3 linked regions of the Drosophila melanogaster genome follow. The protein of the gene in region 2 interacts with the protein of the main gene of each other region in a pairwise test. Each region holds a gene or a part of one and is shown on either strand. Other genes may lie near its edges.

The links.
Region 1: the proteins of CG9876 (region 2) and CG4546 interact in a two-hybrid assay, tested with the Drosophila melanogaster proteins (one large-scale study listed by BioGRID).
Region 3: the proteins of CG9876 (region 2) and CG2233 interact in a two-hybrid assay, tested with the Drosophila melanogaster proteins (one large-scale study listed by BioGRID).

What each region holds. Positions count from the first base shown.
Region 1 is NT_033777.3:15,843,930-15,850,787, forward strand, and holds CG4546 (uncharacterized protein), read left to right. Parts: upstream 1-2,604; 5' UTR 2,605-2,850; coding exon 2,851-2,859; intron 2,860-2,925; coding exon 2,926-3,176; intron 3,177-3,240; coding exon 3,241-4,354; 3' UTR 4,355-4,502; downstream 4,503-6,858. Other genes in the region: spn-E (spindle E), read left to right, coding at 45-177; cv-d (crossveinless d), read right to left, coding at 595-835, 893-1,491, 1,576-1,755, 1,815-1,958, 4,503-4,730, 4,789-4,915, 4,971-5,086, 5,210-5,712 and 4 more.
Region 2 is NT_033778.4:23,088,005-23,097,652, forward strand, and holds CG9876 (uncharacterized protein), read right to left. Parts: upstream 6,263-9,648; 5' UTR 5,966-6,262; coding exon 5,707-5,965; intron 3,104-5,706; coding exon 2,877-3,103; intron 2,697-2,876; coding exon 2,355-2,696; 3' UTR 2,096-2,354; downstream 1-2,095.
Region 3 is NC_004354.4:8,033,390-8,040,382, reverse strand, and holds CG2233 (uncharacterized protein), read left to right. Parts: upstream 1-2,865; 5' UTR 2,866-2,897; coding exon 2,898-3,121; intron 3,122-3,170; coding exon 3,171-3,483; intron 3,484-3,580; coding exon 3,581-3,657; intron 3,658-3,748; coding exon 3,749-4,163; intron 4,164-4,223; coding exon 4,224-4,439; 3' UTR 4,440-4,642; downstream 4,643-6,993.

The DNA.
Region 1 (6,858 bases), on a different chromosome or scaffold from region 2:
ACAAGAATATATTGCATTACTTATATTTTAACTTATATTTTTAGCGAAGGCACTTTACCCCATATGACTTGCAAACTGTGCAATCAGTTGTTGGAATCGGTTCCCCAGCTCCGTTTGCATCTCCTGACCATATTGCATCGTGATCGTGAAAAGCAAATCGACTATTGCAACCAATAAGAATGGTTACATCGTTTAATATGAAAACAGCTGATTTTGAACTTTTTGATTTCTCATTTCTTTTCTTAAAGGACACACTTCACTTGTTTGGTTTAAAAAAATGACGTATTCATGGAATGAAAACAAGTTTTGAATTGAATCTAAACCTACAGAAATCTTCATTACGTTAAATATTTTCTATGTTATGTTGAATGATCTCTCTTCGTTCAATTACGAAGTGTAAAATGTGAAATATAATTTTTTGTTAATTACATCTTTAAAGATATCATTAAATACGAAGACAGCTATACTAACCAGTTCATTACAAGCAAAAATCCATAAACTGCTTGCTGTTTATAAAAATCAAAGCCCTGGGGCGTGCATGTTCTCCCTTTTTGGGCTCTTTTTTTTATTTTAGATTAAACTCACACATTATATTTATGCAACTACAACTACATCGGAGGAATTCTGCAGCGGCACAGGAGTTGGAGTGTTTGCCTCCAGCTCGCAGATCGTATAATTCTGCATGCGGTTTAGGGGCTTGCTGCACAGCCCACACATCTGGTGCTTATACACGCCGTATATCTCGAAATTCAGGATGTTGTACAGATCGAACTGGATGGTGGAGGACAGCTGCGTACACTCCACAATTAAAATATTTTGCTCGTTAAGTTCCACGCTGAAAGGGCATATGGCGTTTATAAAATTGTATATAAAAGCTAAAAAGCATTCTTACCGGAAGTCGTAGTCACTAGTCTCAATTGGCCATTGATATGGCTTTTTGCGCACGTTGTGCGGTGTTTGATCCTGGTTAAGATATATGAGCACTGGTTCATCCGTGGGCAGGCTGCTGTTGTCTGTGCGGGCGCGGAAGTTGAAGTAGTTTTGCCCGATATGGACTCGTAATCCATAGTTGGTGGACAGTCCTTGAACAGGCGAAGGCGTAACAAACACTGCAATCTGTGGCAATGGCGAACAGTCAGCCACCAGCAGCGTGAGACAGTCGGGACGCACCGCAATCTCTCTGAGATTGATTAGGTAATCATCGAAGGTATTGACTATGCCATTGATTACTGAGCAGGAGCGCTTAAGTCCTGAGTCGAAGGTAAGCTCGTGGGAAGCGTCGAACTTCGAGTCCAGCTTGTAGAAGAAGGGGATCTGATGGAAACGCCACTTCACTCCGTTGACCTCCACAGCCAGCCTGAACTGGTCCTGAGGAGTTTGCATTGATATATTTATCTCCTGGCTCATATGCAGACTGTCCACCTTGTCGGCGGATAAGGCGGACACTAAGTGGTCCAGTCGATTCGACCACAGCTCGAACCAGGCGGGCATCTTAAAAAATATAAAGGTGAGTTGATTGGTCTTTTATATATCTTTTCGGAGCGGAAAGTAATTTGATATATCTGATATACTTACATTGTCAAACTTCAGGTCCATGTCGTATTGTGTGATCGAGGTGAAGTTCTCAAAGTTGCTACGCTTGCAATACCTGGAAGTGGGTATGGGCGAGAACTTCAGTACCTCCTTGGGACAGAAGTCGGTGTCCGTCAGCGAGATCTTGTCGGAGCGGAGGAAGGCACGGGCATGCTCCGAGGGCTGGCGAGATGAAAACGTTGGGTTAAAAGAGAATCCACTTCGGGCTTATGTACACTTACACCAGCTCTAGCTGCAAACTGCACCGTGGAACCCTTCTCCGGGCACTCGCTCTCCTCGGTGGCCAGGCCAAACACCACATCGCCATTCAGAGTGTGAGGTCGCTTGGTAAACACCAGCGGTTCATAGGTCAACTTGGTGCAGGCCTAAGGAAAATTATGCAAATGAGTGAGAAAATCCTGTATCCTTAAGTGAAACACCATGTGTTTTTTTTAATGCTTTTTAAAATAAACCTAAAATCTGTCAACTTGATTTTCCAATTATGAAATATGGAATACAATTTAATTTCCTAGCCGGTGGTTCTTCACACAGTATGTCCCAGTAGGTCAATAGCCAGCTATGCTCGGCACGAGTCAAGTGCTCCTTTTGGGTGGCGGGTGTGACACCCTGTAAGTATTATGTAGTTACACTGCTTTCCTCAAGCGTGGAGGCAAGAAAATGTGGGGTTCAGCTGTTCGCTGAAGCTCCAGGCGAGTGGAGTGGGCCACATTACCATGACGAAACAGCAGACAACGGAGCCACAACAACTGCAGCAACGATTAGCGAACCCACACACATCCTGACTGTATGATTGTATGGCCCTCTTCCGCCCCACCGTTCGTGCCTGCGTGCCACCTTACTACACACACACACACACACGCAACCCATCCTTTCAAGCACTCAAGCAGTCGCCGCAATTGTTGGCCCACATTCGTGGGTTGTTTGCGTCCCGGAATCGAGACCGAGAACCGAGTCTGGCAACCGGACTAGAGTAAAGCAGGCCTGGCGGTGTAAGTAGCCCCGTTTGATCAATACGACTCGGTGGGAGCTCAGTAGAAGGCATCCAGTTACGCTACTGTTCAGACGAATTTCTCCTGTCGTAAATTTGTTTTGGGAAAAAATTACATTTTCTTTTATTTTGTAAGAACGCTGTAAAAATCTGGAAAAAAGACCCAGTGCTCTCGACCTATTTTATTTCGGTACCGCCATCGGGAGCATTCAGTTGCGTTGCTTTTATAAATTTATGTTTACTTGATTCTCGGTCGGACAAACTGCAAAATGACTTCGGTAAGTGATATATAAGAAGCATAATAGATATGGATTCTTATGTAGCCACTTTACCTGCTTCTCCAGATCGAGTCAAAACGCGTCCAATATCGAAAGTATTTGGAACGCGCCGGAGTCATCGATGCCTTAAGCAAGGCTCTGATTAAGCTTTACGAAGAGCAGAATAAGCCGGAGGATGCCATTCGCTTTGTACGCAAGTTTATGTGCGAGAGCTGCCCGGACGATGCCCAGTACGATGTAATGAAGAACGACCTCGAGGAGGCCAAGACCCACATCTCGAAACTGGAGCAGGAGCTTGAACGGCTACGCGGACAAATGTGAGTTTCTAAGATCGCGTCTTGTCTGTCCAGTCTTGATTTAGATTCTATTTACACTCAATAGCAAAAAGTCACCGGAGGAGTACCAGGAGCTCACTACTGAGGGCTACAAATCGCTCATGGATGATGAGGAGAACGTGAGCTCACTGCTGCGCAAATACCTGACTCCGGAATTGCTGGAGGAGTACATGCTGGTCACCACACCTGCGCCGGTGGATGCCTACCTATACGATTGCGCCGTCTCCGGATTCGAGCACCACGACGCGCCCGTGGGCATTTTCGCGGCAGATGCTGACAGCTATGACGTGTTCAACAAACTCTTTGATCCGATCATAAAGGACTATCATGGCCAGATGGACAACGAGAACGATGTGCTGCAGAAAGACCCAGACTTTGGCAACGTGGACGAGATCGAGAACTTGGATCCGGAGCGCAAGTACATTCTGTCCGCACGAATCAGATTGGCTCGCAATATCGAAGGTCTGCCCTTCTTCCCCAAACTGACCGAGAAGCAATTCATAGAGGTGGAGGAGAAGGTGCGTTCGGCCACGGAGACAATGGATGGCGAGCTGATTGGCTCCTATCTGACAATGGCGGACATCGATGCTGAGACCCAGGCGGAGATGGTCAAGAGACATATATTATTCCAGCGCGGCGATGAGAAGCTGACCACAGCCGGCTGCTATCGTTTCTGGCCAACTGGTCGTGGTGTCTACCACAATCCCGCCGAGACCTTCTTGATCTGGGTGAATCGCCAGGACCATGTGCACATTATGTCCATGGCACAGTGCGGCGACTTGGGCGATGTTTACAATCGCCTTGTCAACGGTCTAACCGAACTGGAGAAGACGTTGGCCTTTGCCCGGCATCCGCGTTATGGAAACCTTACGGCTTGCCCCACCAATTTGGGCACCACCCTGCGGGCTTCGGTGCACATCCGTCTGCCGCTACTCAGCAAGGACCCCGATCGTCTACTCGCCCTCGCCGAGGAACAGCAGCTGCAGGTACGCGGCACCGATGGCGGCGAGCTGTCCACCGTGGAAGATGGTGTCATGGACATATCAAATAAGAGGAAGCTTGGTTTCACCGAGTTCGAACTGGTCAAAACTCTGCAGGATGGCGTTGTGACCCTGATTAACGCAGAGGAAGAGCTCGAAATATCCGGACAGGAGGGTTAGAAACAAATAGCCAATACTTAAAAACCTTGTAAAGCAATTAATATCACTATAAAGTACTCACGAACACTCACAGACGAACACTTAGAGAAACAGGAGAAACGTATCTTTGGTTAAATAAATTTGTCCCTAGCCACAGACAATCACTCACCTTCCAGTCGTCCTCGTCATCCTTTGAATTTCGCTGAACCTGGCCGGTCAGCTTGAACCAATTGGACTTGGTCGATGCCAGCACGTCCAGGGTAATGTTCCATCTATGAAGTGCATCCGCAGCATGATTTTCGTTCATGTGGTCCGTGTGCTCCAATGTAAGGCCGATCTGCTTGCCTTTCATGTCCGACGTTTTCAAAACGTCTTCGGCACAAAAGTTACCTTCGATCTGAACGAAAATTGGTTTTAGCTTTAAATATTGTTAAATATTTAATTTTATTTCTCACCCTGGTGTTCTTCTCGTTGTACATAAGCATGGTAAAGTTGCGATCGTGGCCCAGGTGTATGGAACTTAGCTGGGTGAAGCCAAATATGTACATCAAAGCATTGACCACCATATTGCCGGAGAACCCACTGGAAGTGAAGTGATTAGCTGAGTAGCAAATCGGTTTCGAAATTCAAAAATTACTTCTCCGTGAACTCGGACTTTAGCAGCATCCCCCTGTACTTGATGAGCTCGTTGAGATTGGTGGTCATGCTCAGTCGGACGCCCAAATCCGTCATTGGGTAGCTAAATAGTTGAACCTGCGAGCTTGACTTTATTATTATTCTTAATTTTACCCATTTTCAGATGCTTAAAGTAGTTAATTAAATTTAGTTAATTTATTTCATATATTTTGGTATTATTTTTCTCAACAAAACACTTACCACATCGTTCCGACCCTCGGGCACCATGATCTCTTCGAAGGGCGCCGCCGCTGTCTTCGTGATCAAACCCCTGGTCTTGGTCACCGCCCGCGACTTGAAGGACAGGCCACTGGTCAGGTTTTGGGGTCGGGAGAAGGAGTAGCGCCTGCACTTACTGCCACTCTCGTTCAGATGCAGTTCGCTGCTAAAGGGGATGTAGATGAGGAAGCCCTGCTCCCGGTTGATCTCGTGATCGAGGTTGAGGAACGGATTGTAGCTACGACTCCGCACCGAGGCGTATGAAGAGTATCGGGCATCGATTTCCAGCGTGTGCTTGGTTATGGGCGAGTTCCGCTGCTCTGTTATATTACCACGCAACGAGGTTAGTACGGTGGTCTGCAGCAGGACGTCGGAGGAGGTTCCCAGCACCGTGGGCACCGTGTAGCGATTCATGAAAGGCCAACGAACAGTCTGCATGTTTATGTGACTGTCTGTCCGAATGATTTGCTGCATTCTTTCCAGAACTGTGGAAAACGGGCATGAACCGCACATGGCTGATGGTCAAGAGGTCAATGTACTCACTGTTGTCGTAGGTCAGCTGCCGGAACATCCGCTGGTTGAGGTAGTACGACAGCACCGTCTTGCCCTCCATTTGCAGGATGAACTCCAGATGCAGGTCCTTCGAGTTGATGATCGGAGCCTGCAGCATGGCCAATAGAGCCTTGATGCTCTTAAAGGTAAAAGGATCGCTGCCATTTCGCGATTGCATCTTGTTCAGGATGGTATCTGGCAGCCCACGTGCCTTGATGTATAGCTGGAAGAAGTAGAGATGGCTTATTTGATTCTTGAAACACCGAGAGGTTGTACTTACCGCCAGTTGTCCTGTGAATTTGCCTAGAGCTTCGGTGTCGAATTTGAAGAAGGCCACCACTGGCATGTCCGACTTTGGATCGCCCACGAGGAATACCTGAAGCATTGCACCGATGCCGAACTTGGAGTCGCGATAGTCAAAGATGTAGTTACCGGTGACCCAGTAGCGTGACTCGGGCTTCTGGGGCAGATGACGATGCATGTAGGACAACAGACGGCGTCTAAATGAAGGATATACGACATCTGTGGATGGCTGTGAATTAGGCTGAGTTAGATGACTTACAGGTGCTGATAGCAGGGATATGTTGTCTCCGAGATGCTCGTCACCGTCGTCCGGTAGTAGTTAATCATGTGAGGGTCCGTCTCGCTCTGAATGATGCGATGGATGCTGATGAGACGGGCGGCCGTGGGGTTGGAAATCAATAGCAGCGTAACCGCTGCCACACGAAGTTCTAGGCTGGCATTTCGGGACTCAAAGATTGGCCAGTAGACCTCGTATATGCGCTCCGCTCGACGATCGGCCAGTGCCAGGGTCGTCCAGGCGGCCTGGAACTTCAGATCCTCGTGCTCGTTGGGGTCCTGAACAATGGGCTCCAGATAGTTGGCCACGTTCCCCAATTGCAAGTTGTTTAGACCCTGCAGATACAACATCTTCTGGTCGAAGTCGCGATCGCCTGCGATGAATGATATTAGTTTATATGGAACTCATGGTTATTTGGAACACTTACTTAGATAGGCATTAAAGTACTTCTGGACATACTCCTCAAACTTTTCCTTATCGATGCCCTTGGCCACATAGA
Region 2 (9,648 bases):
TTCCAAATCGAACATGTCGTTCTGACACGCTTCGCTTGAGTTGTAATTTGAAATTTTGCGAGATCTAGAAACAATTTCTATGTCATCTGGAGAAATCGCTTCCAAATCATCGGAAAATTTCCAATGACAGCTGAAATAAAAATTATATGTCTGTAATTACTAAATGATTATTTGATTTTTTATGTTTAGTAAGTTTGAATTTAACATCTATTTAGTTGTAACATTTTTCTAGTCTCGTTTTTATAGTATTTTTCATGTGTGATTATTACCTCAGTTTTAATTTACCCTTCTCGATTTCAATGGCGCCCCTTTTTTATGATCCGAGTGATGTATCCATCATCGTGTGGCATATTTGGACAGGACTCAAACCGAAAGATGTTTATGGTACACAAATCTTGTGCCCGTGGCGGCATGGAACTTAAGAAGCTGTCACCGGGATCCTCCCCTTCATCATCCAAGATCTTTGCATCGCGTTTCCCTTTCATCTGACAATGTTGCCCGTGTCATCTACTTTATGCCACATGGGGGCGACTCCATCTGCGTGGATGCTCCGTTCATTAGGTCTCTTATAAATAATTGCTTTTTAACAGAGACAGAAATTATCACCTAATTATAGAGCTCGTCATGGGGGATTCCAACCGTCACTTTGGGGTCTCTGCTGTATCCACTGATTAACGGTGGTTAAATTAGCACTCTTATTAACTATTTATCAGTTATCCAATTGTATCTACACGTTTCTTACGAGCAAGCGAGTTTCCATGTAACATAAAAGTGGGTCCTTGATTAATTTGAACTGTTCACCTCAGCTGCTTTCTGTGGAGAGGAGAGTGGAACGCTTTGTGTCCTTCGAAAGGGATAATACACCGTTCCATAATGCCGCACTTGGCTGGCATAAGGAGGCCGTTTGCTCCGGTATTTCCGTTTGCCATTTGATTTGACAGGAGCCTGTTGTTTGGCCCATAAATTTGTATTTCCCTTTCGAGGAGGACTTCTGCAACATGTTCGCCTGTCAGCAGGAATGTCGTCCGTTTGCCGGCAAACAATTTGCCGCATCGCAGAAAAAAAACCAAAAACAAAGGGACAAAACGCATTTTTCCATCGCCGCCGACGTTCTGCTTTTCAAACATTATTGCAATTTCGTAAATATTGTAAAAATGTTTTACGCTCGAAGCGCCAACGCTTTATGCAAATTAGCAGCACAAACCGTTCCACATTCCGAATGTTAATTTGCATTTCGCATTTCGTCCGGCTGCTCAGTTCACTCCCATCTCGTTTGGCCTGCGGAGAAAAGGGGAATTTTTATTTGCATTTAAATATATTACATACTTGTTAACCTTCCAGCTGCTAGACTGGATCCGTACGTATCCGTACGTATCCGTATATCCGTGCATCCGGATCCGGGATCTGGAGTATCGGGGAAGATGCTTCTGTGGCCACTTCCCCTTTCCCAGTTTTTGGGAATGCGTTTGAGAGCACTGCTGCACATTCTATTGTGCCCCGAATGGCAATCTGTACTTTTAATTGCCCTAGAAAACCGAGATTTCCACAATCTTAATCCACTTTGATTGTGGCTTCGCTTTTCCAACATTTGCGGCTAGGCAAAAGTTTTCCCTTGCTGCTTGCTGTTTGTGCCCCTCGCCTCTTCTCTCCACAGCTTTCCTATCCACTCCTCGCCCGTTTGTTTATTTGTTTTCGCTTTAATTAAGTTTTATTATACAAATTAACACATGCGGGTGAAATAACACACACTCGCAGATGCAAATGGAAGCCTCGAGCTGCTTTGCCAGTGTGCGGCGGGGTTATGAATTTTTAATTAAATCGTATTACTAAGTCAATAATTAAATAAGCCATGTCATCGCCAAACGCCTGAGTGACAGTTTCGTAAATGGAAAACTTTCACATATCGACGAGAAGGTAATTGTTTGTGTCTCGCAAGATAATCCAATCGAAAGAGTTATCCAAACGTGATTATGATTACAATCTTTCTATAGTTCAGTTTGTGCCCTAGCAAATTGTAGTTTATTGGCCCTTAAGCGCAGTAGATTTTCCAAAAAATAAACACAGCTCCCAGTCAAACACACAGTGCCCGTGTTTTCTTAGAAAATGTTATTTATTGGGTTTTCTCCTTCAGTGCGTCACATCTGTATCGGTATCTGTATCTCTGTCTGTGTCTGTATCTGTATCTGTATCTGTGAATGTATCTGCATCTGTGTCGGCATCGTATAAGTATAAATATTAGTCAGGTAGGCGAATATGCCGGTCCTAATACGTTTTTAAGCATTAATGCAATTTGGCTAATTGAAATACATATGCATGAAGTAACCTCATGGGGCCCATTAAAGCTAGCCGCGCCATCACAGCGGCGGATAGGCGTTCTTCGCATAATTGGCGGCCACACAATAGTTGGTGGCCCCAAAGAAGGAGCAGACGCCACTGCCGCTGGCACCACTCGATCCAAATCCCCCGTAGCAGTTCGTATAGTTCTGGCACGAGCGCAGCTCCAGCGGCCCAAAGTTGAGGGCGTATGCGCCGGGGGGCGGTGGCGGCTGTGGGTGTGGGTGTGGCATATTGGCATATTTGTGCATATTATTGCTAATCGGCGCCGGCACCAACTGAGGAGCCGTATCCAGAAGTGTCCTGGAGCCCACGCTCCGTTCGTTCCGCCGGAATTTCGCACGCCGATTCTGAAACCAGACCTGAAACGGGCGTCCAAGTAATTGATAGGGGAATTAGCTGCAATGGATTGTTAACTAAGTTAGCAGATAGCTGCTGGAATGTATGTGCAACACAATGGGATACGGTGTGGCTTTCTATTAGGTGAACACTTAATATTTAAACAGGTATCATCGAAGCTTACCAATGCAATTAAAACCCACCTGAACTCTGGCCTCGCTCAGATGCACCTTGGTGGCCAGCTCCTCGCGAACAAAGGCATCCGGATAGTGAGTGCGTTCGAAGACCTTCTCCAAGGCCGTCAATTGGGCGGAGCTGAAGGTGGTGCGATTCCGGCGCGGCTTCCTCGAGTGGTGGCCACCACCCGCCGGCAGATTTCCGGAGCAGGGAGCTGGCCGATCTGCGCCACCGCATCCTGCGCCAGTGGGGCCTGCAATCAGGGAGCCATTAAATTGGGAATTTTCACTTTCACTTTTACTTTTGCGTTTTCCTTTTCCCGAGGGTCGAATGAAAAATCTCTTTGACGGACTGAGGTGAAAAACGCTCGTAAATAATCGATAAGAGCCAACGGATATCAATTAATTTGGCAGCCAGCTAGGAAATTTACTTTTATGGCTTGTCGTGAACACATAAAATTTTGCATTCCGTTTGATCCGTCGGCTGGGGGCCACGAAAGGAGTGGAGTGGGGACTTTGGGGCTTTAGGGAGTGGGAGGGGGGGTCATAAACAAATGGCATGAGCCATAAAATATCTTTTGACGACATCGGCGGACAGCTGTCTACTAATTTCGTCGCCCAACAAACATGAGCTAGCGCATTTACGATCTATTAATTAAAGTGAAATTGTGACATTAAGCGGTCATAAGCGGGCTCCCTGCTTCAGGCGACCATTAATTGATTTTCCATAGAATTGGCTTGAAAACCGATTTACAAAAGACTTAAGCCGTTTTCCTTCGAATTTATCTATTTTCAAACTAATTGGACGGAATGCTAGGGAAAAAATTAAGCATTTCAGCTAAAAGCCGGAGGAAAAAACTAAAATGAGATCATTATATTATTATATTATATGGTTTTATTTTGCATGGCTGCATGGGCTGTAGTGAGTATTACACTCTCCTTCGAGTTTCAGTTTTTAGTCTTGTATCGATAAATTGCTTCTGATTTCTCCGCCTCGCAGCCTGCTGGAATTTCAGGGTGGCCATCGCCGTGAGTATCCCCATCGCCATCAGATATCCTCCTACCCACGCCATTTGTCTCAATTTGTCAGCCGAGCTGTCCACGGAGTTGGGAACTGCATCGTAGATCAGCTCGGAGCACTCCAAGTACACGGAATAGTGGGAAACGGGAGCAACTGCATCGGCAACTGATGTCCCAGGGGATGGGAAGGGGAGTTTGGGGCACTGAGTGAAGGGAAGATCTTTAATTTGAATTGCCAACGAGCGATAAAAAACAGTTGCGGCTTAATAAAAAACCAACAAATCGAAAGGGAAACCTCAATCAGATTTTCAGAGCGGCAACGGCAAGGGGTGAAGAATGACTGAGCAGTTGCACTGTGAGAAATCAATGGGGGTTGGGGCACTGCATGAACTACTTGCTACAACAAATAAATCATTGTTAAAAGGGAGTACCTTTGCATATTTCCAATAAAATGTTATCGAATCATATTATAAAGTGAACAAAGTTCACCTCGCCTTTTAATCTATGAGCATAACAGATAGATTCGATTTTTTAAGTGGCAGGTAAACTGTTTTTCTTACAGTGCCTGGATGCTACTGGCACATGTTACAATCCGATGGAGCGACGAAAATAAACGAGGGGTGAGGGGGGGGGGGCGGGGCTAGGAGTAGTGGCAGTGGAGTGCGTGCTGCGTCTGGGACTGGTTACAGTGGGACTGGCGTTTTATATGCTCCACTTGGAAATTATAGTCGTGGCAGCTAGTCGCTGCCTCGGATGCTTCAAAGGCATGCGGCCACTGAGGGAATATCATGTCAGCTTTGATTACGTTTTGTCATGTTGACAATGTTGAAGTGTTGTCGGCTCGGAAATGTTTCCTCTGCCACGGATAGAAATCCAAAAAAAAATATAAGCACGGGAAGAACTTTACACGAACTGCCAGAGTTTCGGTTCCTCTGCGTTTTTCGGTGGGATCTTCGTTTTCGGCAAGGATAGCGCTGCAAATTATGCCAGAGCTGCCAACCAGTAGCAATATGTTGACAGCTTTCTCCCGGTCGGTTAATGCGCAGACTATGGGGCACTGGGGGCACGGAGGGGTTAAAGCCGCAACCGCAACAGGAAAAATGCACGGAGATGACATTGCAGCGGCATTGGGAGCAGCGAAATGAGCGAATGTCGCCCACATCTGGCACCTAATTGTCATCCATGAGTTGCCCCACGGCCCCCGCACATTTATATGAATTCTCCCACCGCATATACGGTAGCACCTATTTGTGCATATCTAAAGATATGGCAGCTGTGCGAATAACGTCATAAGTTCTCTTGGCCCGCAACTCGCACGAATCTATCATTTATGAATTAGGCACAGTAAGCCTCATAAAGTTGCAGAACTCAAATGCAGATGTAACTAAACTCCTGTGGCATTACGTATTCTGTTGCACATAATTGAGCACATCTGTGAACTATGCCATTTAAGAGGCTTTTAAAATTAAATGAACCAGTGCTCCACACCCAGATTAATTACATTTCGAGAGTGATGAATATTTTTGATAGAAAATAATAAAAACAGTATTCATTTTGGTTTTCATGGTCTAATTCAGCCATGAAAGCCTTTGACTTTGAATGAAAATGCAATAACATTCCAACATAACATTGCACTTGCCTGACCTGAGTAATGGGTATGTGATAGTCGTTTATCTCGACTTTCTTTCGTTTTAATATGCAAAAATTTACCTAACTATCTATAATTCAAAGCAGATTGATTGATTTGTTTTGCTTTTATTGCAAGTTTTCACATTTCACTCACAGAATTTTTTATTTATCTGCACTATAAGCACAAGATTGTTCCATTTGAACTCACCGAAGTTGCTACTGAGTTCCATGGCCATTTTTCCCTTGGAATAGGCGTCGTGTTTCATTTCCATGATATTGTCCACGGAGAATCTGTGAATTTTATCCAGGTTCCTGCCACTTTCTTCCCGATCCTCCAGCTTGTCCTCGGACTCCAGGTTGTGCGATTGGTGAGATGAGTATATCTCGCCGGAAACCGTCGGTCCGTAGTAAAAATTTCCCGGATTACCGACGGGCAGCGAATGCAATTGCTGCTGGTAGTTAAGCATGTTTAGGATATCCGTCTCGAGTTTTACTTAAAGGTTGAACTCTTAACTTTGGGCTGTATTAACTGAACAACAAACTGAACTCAAGATAATAGAATTGATTTTTTCGAATTTTAAACTCAATTCTTAATGTGTCCGATTGATTGAATTAATTTGTGCAATTTGTGTTATGTTCGCCTGCCGCAAATGGGGGCATCCTGTGCGAACTTGGTAATTGGATTAGCACACAACACATAAACGAGTTAATTACGATAATTGTCGCGACGATACTAAACCGTGCCAAAGTCGTGTGCCCACTGAAATTAGCCTCAAAATCGAAAGAGTGCTTCGCCAGATCCCATGCCCATCCCCCATCTCCCATCCCCCATCCACCATTCCCCAGAAGAATCCAATCCGAAACATATGAACATATGTGCCTGCCCGCGATCGTCGAGCGAGTCTATCGATTCTGCGCCTAATTATAGACCGGCGATCTGCGATTGGTTGCTGCTCCTCCTGCGCCGGTGGTGATTCCTCCATCTTGGGGGCGTTTCACTTCGAGTGGCTGGCTGGATGAATGAGTGTCTGAAATACGAGGTGAAAAGTATCAACAAGTTTTGGGCATTTAAGCAGCAATAAATACCAATTAGCCAGAGGGTTTGCTCTCCGGTTGACATCATCCTGCCTGTCACCACAGGCCATGTGTCTCTGTCTTTGCTGTCGTCCTGAATCGGTGCTCCCGTTTCGCAGGATGTGTCCGTTGTAGTTGCATCTGAAGTAGTTTCGGGCAACATCGGGGCATAAATCTCGGCACGCACAGTGTTTGTCATCCTCCTGAGCTAATTTCCATAACCACAACATCTTGTTCATTTGCCCGGCAAAGTGGAGCGATGGAAATCGGAAGGCTGGGCGGAACTGGTTAGTTAAGTGCATGTTTGTGGATCCTTGCGTTCTGCAGCTGTGTTTAACTTTACCTACGAAGGTGTTTCCCCATTGTTCTACATTGTGCTCAGCACGTTGGTATATAGACGAATTGATCTGGGTCACTCCTAAACAATACTGTGTAAATTATTAATAATATATCACATCAACGCTGACGTTCTTGTCCTTCGAGAGAGAGAGTGAGTTGCCTTTCCTTTAATTAAAGTATTTAAGTATTAAAGTGACTAGTTTCGCTATATCTGCTTATAAAACAGATTAGCGTCCAAGCAATGAGCTCCTTTCATTTTCTCATTTGTTGACCGAAGTTTGCGACTTAAGTTCCCCGCTTTGTATGAGGACCCATGTCAGAGAGAAAGTCCTTGGACTTTGGTGTGCGGCAAAGGAGGACTTCCGCTCATTAGATGTCCCTGCAAAGCTGGCTGGCTATTAATATTCTAATATTTTGCTTTTGGCAAAAGGAGCAGCTTGGCTGGAGTGCCGGCTTACACACATTTTCCCATCCAAATTGAGCTGTCACAAAAGTTTATCCAAACTACTTGACACTTCGCTGCCGGTTTTCGGGTGCGCTTTTCCACTTTTCCTACATTTCCACATTCCCACCTGCAAGGGAACGGAGTGGAGTTGCCTCGTCCGGCTCGCTTCTAGTAAATTATCTCACGTTTTCGTGTGCGAAAGTTCTTGAGGAATGTTGCGGTGTGTATTTTTAATAAAACTTCAAAGTTTCTCCTACTTGCCACGCTTTACTATGTCTCGCAAACGTTTTTCTTACCCAGCTCAATTTTCTTCGTTTTCAGCGGTTTCCCTCTGTTTTATTTTATTTTTATTTTCTCTACCTCATTTTATTTTTTAACTCTTGGAATTCTTTGTCACGAAACATTTCTCGCGTGCTGCTGCTCCGCCTGCTCCTCATCCTGATCCTTTTGCTCCTTCTGCCGGTGATGTTGCTAGTGTTTTGTGGGTGTTATCCATGTAATATGGTTACCCAGACAAACTTTGGCCGGGAAATTCTTCCAGCAAGTCAGAATTCGAGGAGACAGTTTTAATGCTGTCAGATAGAAGTAAAGTAACTAAACTTGTCAGTTGCCTCGCAGGGAATTCGGTGGAATATCATGTGCAATCCAAACGGGATAAATATGCGCAGGTAATGTCGATTACGATGTCAAAACGTTGCGTTGAACAAATAATTGTGGGTATTTACTATACTTGGTATGGTTGTTTAATATAATACACTGTATAATCCATTGTTTAAATGGCATTAACTAGGAGGCACAAGCGTATCAGAGTCATCAATCCAAAATCCCGGAAAACGAGGAACGCAATACATCAATGCGTGACAGTCTGTAAACCAGTTTGGCACTTTTTTTCTAGTTTCCCGCACACAGTTAACAATTTCAATTTCCTTTGAGCCACTCAAAAGAGGGTTTTTTTGGCCAAGTTCCTTTGAAGTTCATGTTGTTTGTCAAGAAAATGAAATTCACTTGACGGCGATTATGCGGCAAGCATTTAAACGCTTCTCGTTGAATTCGCTCGCTTTCGCGAAAGTTTTGCAAAACATTTCCGATGCTTCACAAAATAACCGAGCCACGGCGGAACCGCAACACAAGGACCTGCAACATCGGGGAAGGAACCCATCAGGCGCCCCTCGTCTACGTCTACGTCTAAGCCCGAAATGCCAAAAGCGCGAATGGCACACAGCGAGGGGAGGGTGCAAAAGTTTGGCCTAAATCACTTAACAGAAAACAAGTGTTGGCATGTGCCTCCTCTCCGCCGGACTTCCTGCCCCTACTGCGCCTTCTGCAGAAGGCATCCCAGCTCTGGCTTTCCGCCCAGCAGAAATATCGCAAAAGTTGCAGTGCAAACTTCTCGCATACCCATTACTAGAGCAAAAAGATTAATCCAGCTCAGAAGCTCTTTAATTTTTTTTAATAAAATATCTATTTTTGCTGAATATCTTATGCCGAACCTAAGACATATGTTTATTTTTCACTTCTGAAAGCAGATAGATCTTTGAACTTAGCCCCAACTTACTCACTGGGTATTAAATCCGCTAGCCTTGCCTTAAATCCTTCCGGTTTTAACCTGCGTTGCTGGATTATTCACGACATGTTGGAATCAGGCATCACAACAAAGTTGTATGGCAAATGAAATATAATAACAAGAAGTAACCGGAAGCATCAGACTAGGGAACTTTGGTGCCCACCTCCATCTGCGCCCCAAATGTGGGGCTATGCGTAAACAGAAAATCAATTAATGGCTGCAAAAAGTGAGAGGATGGATGACAGGCGCCCTCTGGCGGTTGGAAAAGTCGAACTACTTGCATTCCATTTTTTGCTGCATACTCTTGGACTTTTTTGTATAAGTGTTTATACACCCAAGTTATGTAAATGCGTGCGGCTTATAAACATAGGTATTAATCAATTAAATACACGTTGCGTGCGCGAAAGGCATTCAAAAATGGTTCGAATCAAACCTGGCAAAAAATTGAACACAACCAAATTGCAGTGTGTTTTGGTGAAAGGGGTATGGCATAGGAAAGTAAAAGGAGGATTTACATTAATTACGGCACGGAAAAGCCTACTGACTTTTATTGTGACATAGGCCTGGCAACTTACCCAAGTCACTTAAGCTACCCCCTTTCGCCATGCCCATATATAGTATAGTATAGTATAGTATATAAAACGCATGAATATTTTATAGGCTTCAGCAAGCAGGACGAAGTGGGCGGCAGCAGTTTTAAAAGCCCTGTTAAGAGACTTTCACTTTGG
Region 3 (6,993 bases), on a different chromosome or scaffold from region 2:
TTAAAATTACGATTATGATGATAATGGATCGTGGCGACAAAGATGTCCGCACATGTTTCCAAAGCTTATTATTTTTAATATTATTGATTGCCTAGGCAAGTTTAGTTCGTAGGTATACACTTAATTGATAATACTTATTTTTTTTTTTCATAATTGTATACACACACACACACACACACACACCTATGCTTAGAGTTGTTAACTAATTTAAAAACAAAAAAGGAGAAAACCCCAACAAAAAAAAAAAAAAGAACAAACTAAAGAAAATCGAAACAAAATCAATTCAAGAAATCCAACCGCAAGGGAACGTCTCAGTCCAAATTGTCGGTACACGAATTCTTATTTTATTTGATTAACCAAAAGAAAATGTTATTAAAAATGTAGTCCGATCCCCATTCCCAAATCATCATCCTACGGACCGCTATGAGCAAATTCAATGAAATCTTATTGTTTTTCGATTTTAATTCGGCACATCACCCATGCACCTGTAATTTATACACACGCAAAAGGAACACCCACACACGCACACACACACACCCACACCTACACCTACACCCAAACACGCCGGCAGACACTGGGAAGAAATCCAGCACGATCCGCAGAATCAGAACCACAAACCAATAATATGGATACAAATGTAGTTAATAAGTCACAACAACCACGACATTTTTGTATATGCCAATGACGCGCCTAAACAAAAAAAAAAATGAAAACAAAAAAAAAAGAATGAAAAGTAATCCGAAATTGCTTTCTAATGACCAGAAGCCTTCGCAAGTAGGTGCCAGGATGCAGGATGCTATCCCCCAAATTGCAGTGACAATTCAGTAAATTAATGATACATGTTTGGAGTCTCTGCCGTCTTCCACCATGTGTATTCTTCGTCTACATCTTCACCCCCACCATCTGCATGCATCCAATCCTCCTTGTCAATGTGTCCTTGTATATAGATCCATGGGTCCTTCCAGATCATCTTTCCATCGGGGACTCTGATCCTGAAATAGCAGTAGGATTTATGATAGCAACTATCTGTGTCGAATCTAACCAAATCTGTAACTGTATCATGCACCTTTTTTTTTATGTATATTTGGGGTTCTGATTTCTATTTATTCTGTGCGTGAGCCTGTGTGTGCCCTGCAGTTGCATTCACCGATCCATTTTCATCGATGAATCACCGCTCAATTTGTTTTCAAAGAGCGATGAATTGTGGAACTGCAGGGTGTGGTTGAGATTAGGGATGCGTGTTTGTCTTTGTATATAGAGGCGGTCAATAGGTTCGTGTCTTTCCCCGGCTTACACTCGCAGCAAATTTCGTTTTGTTTGTGTAAATTAGTTTTTTTTTTTCGAAAGCGAGTAAAGAACAGAAAAAAAGATCACAAAACAACCCTTATTCTATATAAAGAACATATATATATATATATACAAAAATATATATATTTAAATACGAAAAATGTTGTATCTAGTAATACATATACAAAAATGAGAAACATTTTTTTTCTATACTTAATTTTAGCATTTAATTGAGAATAATTCGCACGAGGAGATAAACGTGAAATGTATGAAAATAAAAATTGGGAAAACCAAACGATTCAAACAAAAGAAGTTTTTAATTCAGTCAATATATATATATAAACAGGAACATATATATAGTAAAACCTCTATATATAGCGACATCCCTATATTTGCATATATGAATATAACACCAACATATATATATATATATATATATATTTTAACATCACCCGACGACAGAACAAGACGCATTTGATTTTGTCCAATCTGATCGAATCGCCCAAGTTCTAGCAGATGCATTTGGCATACTAGCATATAATTGTTGACCTTTTGTTGTTACCTAACGAGGGCATTAACTAGAAGACGATGATGATGATAAGGCGTAGTATAGCAAGATAGAAAGATAGAAAGATAGCCTGATAGCAGGATGGCTGGATAGCTGGATAGGATGGGTCAAGTGGAGTCGAGTCGAGGAGTATGTACCATATAGCAAAAAAAAAAAAAAAAAAAAAAAAACTCACTAAAGAATCACTTTTCTGAAACGTAAAAGCAAACGATCTTAGCCTTAAGCGCCTACCGCTAAACAGAATAACTTTAAAGCAACGTTACGTGTGGCACGTAATGCAGGAACTAATAATACTATTATTAATAATAATAATATTAACTATTACGATTATGAAGCAGAAAATCAAGGGGGAAACTAGTTTTCGCTGGCAGAAAGGGTGGATATAGAAACCATTACATTAACATACATGACATCATTTTGGCCCCTTTAGCATTCTCTAGATATACAAATACAAGAATTCTTAGTAAGCCTATTATTAATGGAGGAGAGCGTGTAAGCAGAAAATGCGAAGGAAACCAATTAACAAGTAAAACGTAAAACATAAAACATATTTTACCTTTAATGCGTACACTTAGTATTAATGAAATGGCCGACAAAAGCAAAAAACTATAAGAAATGAGACAAAAAATAAATAAAAAGGAAAAAAACAAAAAACTAAAGAAAACAGAGAAAATTTGCAAAAAAAAAAAAAAATAATAAAAAAAATAAACAAAAATTCATAAAAAAAAAAACAAACAATAGTGTGTTCTTATTTCATCGAAATTGTAATCGAATCGTTATCAATAGTGCCTTTTTCTATATTTATATATATTTTTACATATGCACAGTAATCAATGGATTGATTATTATTGTTTATTATTGTTTATTATTATTTTGTTTATCTCGAACCTCAGCTGAAATAATCGCAAAAGGGTCGCAACCTGCCAGCAATCACAAATCGTGCGATAAGAAGGTTATCTGCAGCATCAGCACCTTTCTGGGGGCTATAAAAAAGTGATCGCCACCGAATGGGGCGATCAGTTTGACTTTTGAATTCGTCGCGATGTTTTCGATTAACGCCGTGATCCTGGGCATTTTGGTTACTTCCGTTATGGCCCAGGATGCAAGGGGAACGTGTGAACTGAGCATCGGTTCTCCGGCTCCGGTTGTTATTAGCAATTTTGGCTCCCAGCGTTTATTGTTCGATTCCGTGCGAAAATTAGAACGGGAAAATTACCAGACCATTGACCTTTTCTGCGCGAGCGGATTTTCCATAGACTATTACAAGTACTGTTTGATTATCTTCTACTCGCATTTGCTGATGATTTGCTTTCAGCTATTACAACAACCAGATCTCGACTACAATCAAAGCGACTAAACTTACAATGACCTGCGACCCTATTCATCGGTTTACCTATAAAGATGGCATAAAAGATGTAATTAGTGTTCGGTGTCTGGAGGTCGGCCCTCAGTTGTTTGAGAGCATGAACAAATTGCCAAATTGCACGGGCATGACTCTAGTTGTCGGAAGAAAATTCGATGGCATTGGTTTAATAAAATATTCAGCATTGTGCTATGATTTGGCCGCATTTCAATTGAAATATATTGGTTATACCACAAATTTCAATAATATCCAGATTTTCCCAGAGGTGGGTTGTGTTAACTTTTTGAGCAATATTATATATTGTTATATATTCACGTATTTTGTTTTTTTTTTTTTTTTGTTCCATATACATACATGTGTAGACCCAATTGGGACAACTTAACGATATCGGACTTGATACTCCTATCAGTTACCAAAAAAATCTATTCGAGACCATCAGGTAGGTGCAATAAGGAGGTTGCGCTATTCCTGTGATTAGAGGAGTGGCTCTTTGATTAAAATCATAATTAACATAATATCAATTCGAGCAGCAAGAGTGAACTTGATGCGTACTTGGCAAAGGAGAAGCAGTTGTTCACGGAGGACACTTTTCAGGTTGGCAGTTTGGTCCAGGATGAGATGGTTAGTAGACACTTGGTTGTCTACGAGGACTTGCTGACCACCGTCTGGTTGGAGGTTCTGCGTTCCGGCAACTGGAAGCATTGGACGAAGGCAATGCGTGATGCCATCGGTGTCCACTTCGACATTCGTTTGGGTGTTTCCGGAACCGTGAAGCTGCCGACGTTCGCCGGGCAATCATGCAACGGAAGCCGATCGCTCAACATTGAACTGATTGGTGGCAAATTCCTGCCCATTCCCGCCCACATTTGGGCCCATGTTCACGCTGTGGAAAAGTCCGGTACCGGACAGGATGAGTTCGTCATCATTGGACACAACTCGCCCTTCGTGCGTAAATGCCATTGAATGTGTTATGCTCAGAAATATTCAATCCTTTCGATCTTGCAGTATCGCAGTGACTTAAGCAATCTGTGCCCCTCGATGTGCAACCAAGTGTCCTGGCTGAGGAACACCCTCTTCTCCAGACTCCACGAGTTTCCCGCCTTTGGAATGGTGCAGTGCTGCCGTGTGGAGGATGTGGCCCACAAACTGGACAATTTTCCCGGTCCCTTTGAGAATGAAAATATGAATGTCAGCAGGACAACCGAGGCTACCACAATATAAACAGTTCCCTTTATATTATCCCTCTGTTCCAACAAATATGGGACTCTTTGTGTACATGCAATTTGTATAAAGCGCCTTTTAATGCATTAAAATGCATTTAATGCAATAATACTTGTCTATATAATCAGCCCGTATTGCTTTGTATCCGTATACGATCCTTAATTCCAGTAATAAAGTCACAATTTGCGCATATTTGAATCTTTAAATATTATGTCAGTCTTCGACTAGCTCTTGTCGAACGCGGATGTAAAATCTTCTATTCTCTCTGAGAACATTTTGGTGTACATTAAATATTTTCTGTTTTCTTCTTTAATTGTGATATTCGCAAAAAACTACAATCAAACGTTCAAGTGATGCAATTGGCGATGCTGAAGCATCTGCCGTTGAAAAAATGCGTACTAAAAGGAATAAACCACTAGTGGAGCGCCAGAACGAACGGGGCTCCAAGCAATTTACAAATTATTTTCGTCCACTACAAACTTTAGACGATGATAATGATGATAAACCTATTGAAACGGACACACTTGATGAAATAATAATCAAACCACCTCCTATAACATTAATTAAACAAAATACAAAATTTGTACACGAGCTAATGGCTAAAATTAAAACTGATGATTACTTTATTAAAACCATCTCAATTGGAATTAAAATATTTTTACCAAATATGGACTGTTTCAATGCAGCTTGTAACCAACTCAAGGAACATAACTGTGAGTTCTACACGTACGATACTAGATCAAACAAGCCATACAAAGCCATTTTATCCGGGCTGGATAAACTACCAATTGAAACTGTCAAATCCATGCTACAAAACCTAGGATTACAATGCACCGAAGTCAAAATTGTGGAAAAGAAAACTAAGTCTGATCATGAATTATTACTGTACATTGTTTATTTCGTAAACAAAAGTATCACAGTAAAGGAACTGCGCAAAAACTTTATGTATGTCAACCACACTAAAGTACGCTGGGAGTATAAAGTGAAATTGCAGAATAAAATTACTCAATGCTACAATTGCCAACTATTTGGACATGGATCAAATAATTGTTCAGTTAAAACATCATGTGCCCATTGTGCTGGATCACACCAGACTGCCGTATGTATGGACGTAAACAACAAAAAATGCGCTAACTGTAAAGGCGACCATCCATCGACAGAACTGACATGCCCATGCCGAATTTCTTATCTCAATTTACTTTCCAAACGCTCATCACAACGCATTGGAAGAAATAACTTGGAAGCTCATGGAATGAGGAATTCTAAGCAACACATCGCTCCATCTGCTCTCTTTGGAAATCAACCCCAGATCTCATTGCCTACTCAAACTAAGAGAGTGCAACAACTCAACTTTGGTAGCTATAGTAATGCACTCACCAATATTCATACTTTGCCTAATCCCAAAGCAAATATCACAAATGAAACTAATCTCTTTTCATGTGAAGAGATAAATTCTCTTTTGTCTGAATTAATAACAAGACTTAATGAATGCTCCAATAAGGGAGAGCAATTTCAAGTAATTTCTCAGTTAGCGATTAAGTATGTTTACACAAACAAATAATTTTATTGATAATTTGAATATTATGGCATGGAATGCTCGTGCCGTTAGAAACAAACGTATAGAACTGATCAAGTTCTTAGAAAATAATCACATTCACATAGCACTTATAAATGAAACGTGGCTGACTCATAGTGACCGTTTTAATATACCCGAATACACTATATACAGAAATGACAGGAAGGAAAGTAGGGGAGGCGGCGTTGCCATTGCAGTTAGTAACACATTGATACATGAACAAATACCCTGCATTAAAAGTCATGTTATTGAAAATGTAGGTATACAAATCAACACTGACTCTAATTCCAGTCTAAAAATTTACTCTATTTACTTTGCTGGAAATACTTCAAAATGTATTCCTAGTTCATGTGATTTATCTTGGGACCATAATCATTTAAAAAGTTTGTATAGATCTGATCTCCTTAAGATCTCACAAATAAATGGAAATTTTCTAATTTGCGGGGACTTCAACTCGCGCCACAGAGCATGGAAGTGTACCCGAGCCAATGGTTGGGGCAAAATTCTCAATGAACTTTCAGATCTGGGAAAATTCAGTATTTTGTACCCTACGCAACCCACATATATTCCGCATAACCATAAAGCAAAAGCATCAACATTGGACCTATGCCTCACTAATATCCCTAACCAGCTGGCTAATCCAGCAGTAATGCAAGAGCTTTCCTCTGATCACCTACCAGTGGTTATTAAATACTCTACAAATTTTATGCGCAATGTAAAAACATATCCGATTTTGGGAAGGGCAAATTGGGCGCTTTTTAAGAGAATTATAAATGAAAGGCTGATGGTTGAAGAGGTGGTTGTCAACTGCTCACAGATATCGACTTTGGATATTGATAATTTAATCGGCTCTTTCACTAGAGTAATCAATTATGCCTTTCTTAAAGCAGTCCCTCATAAACCTATACATCACTCCAAGCTTACACTCCCTGTACATATAACTGAATTATTTAAAACAAGAAATATTATCCAAAGACA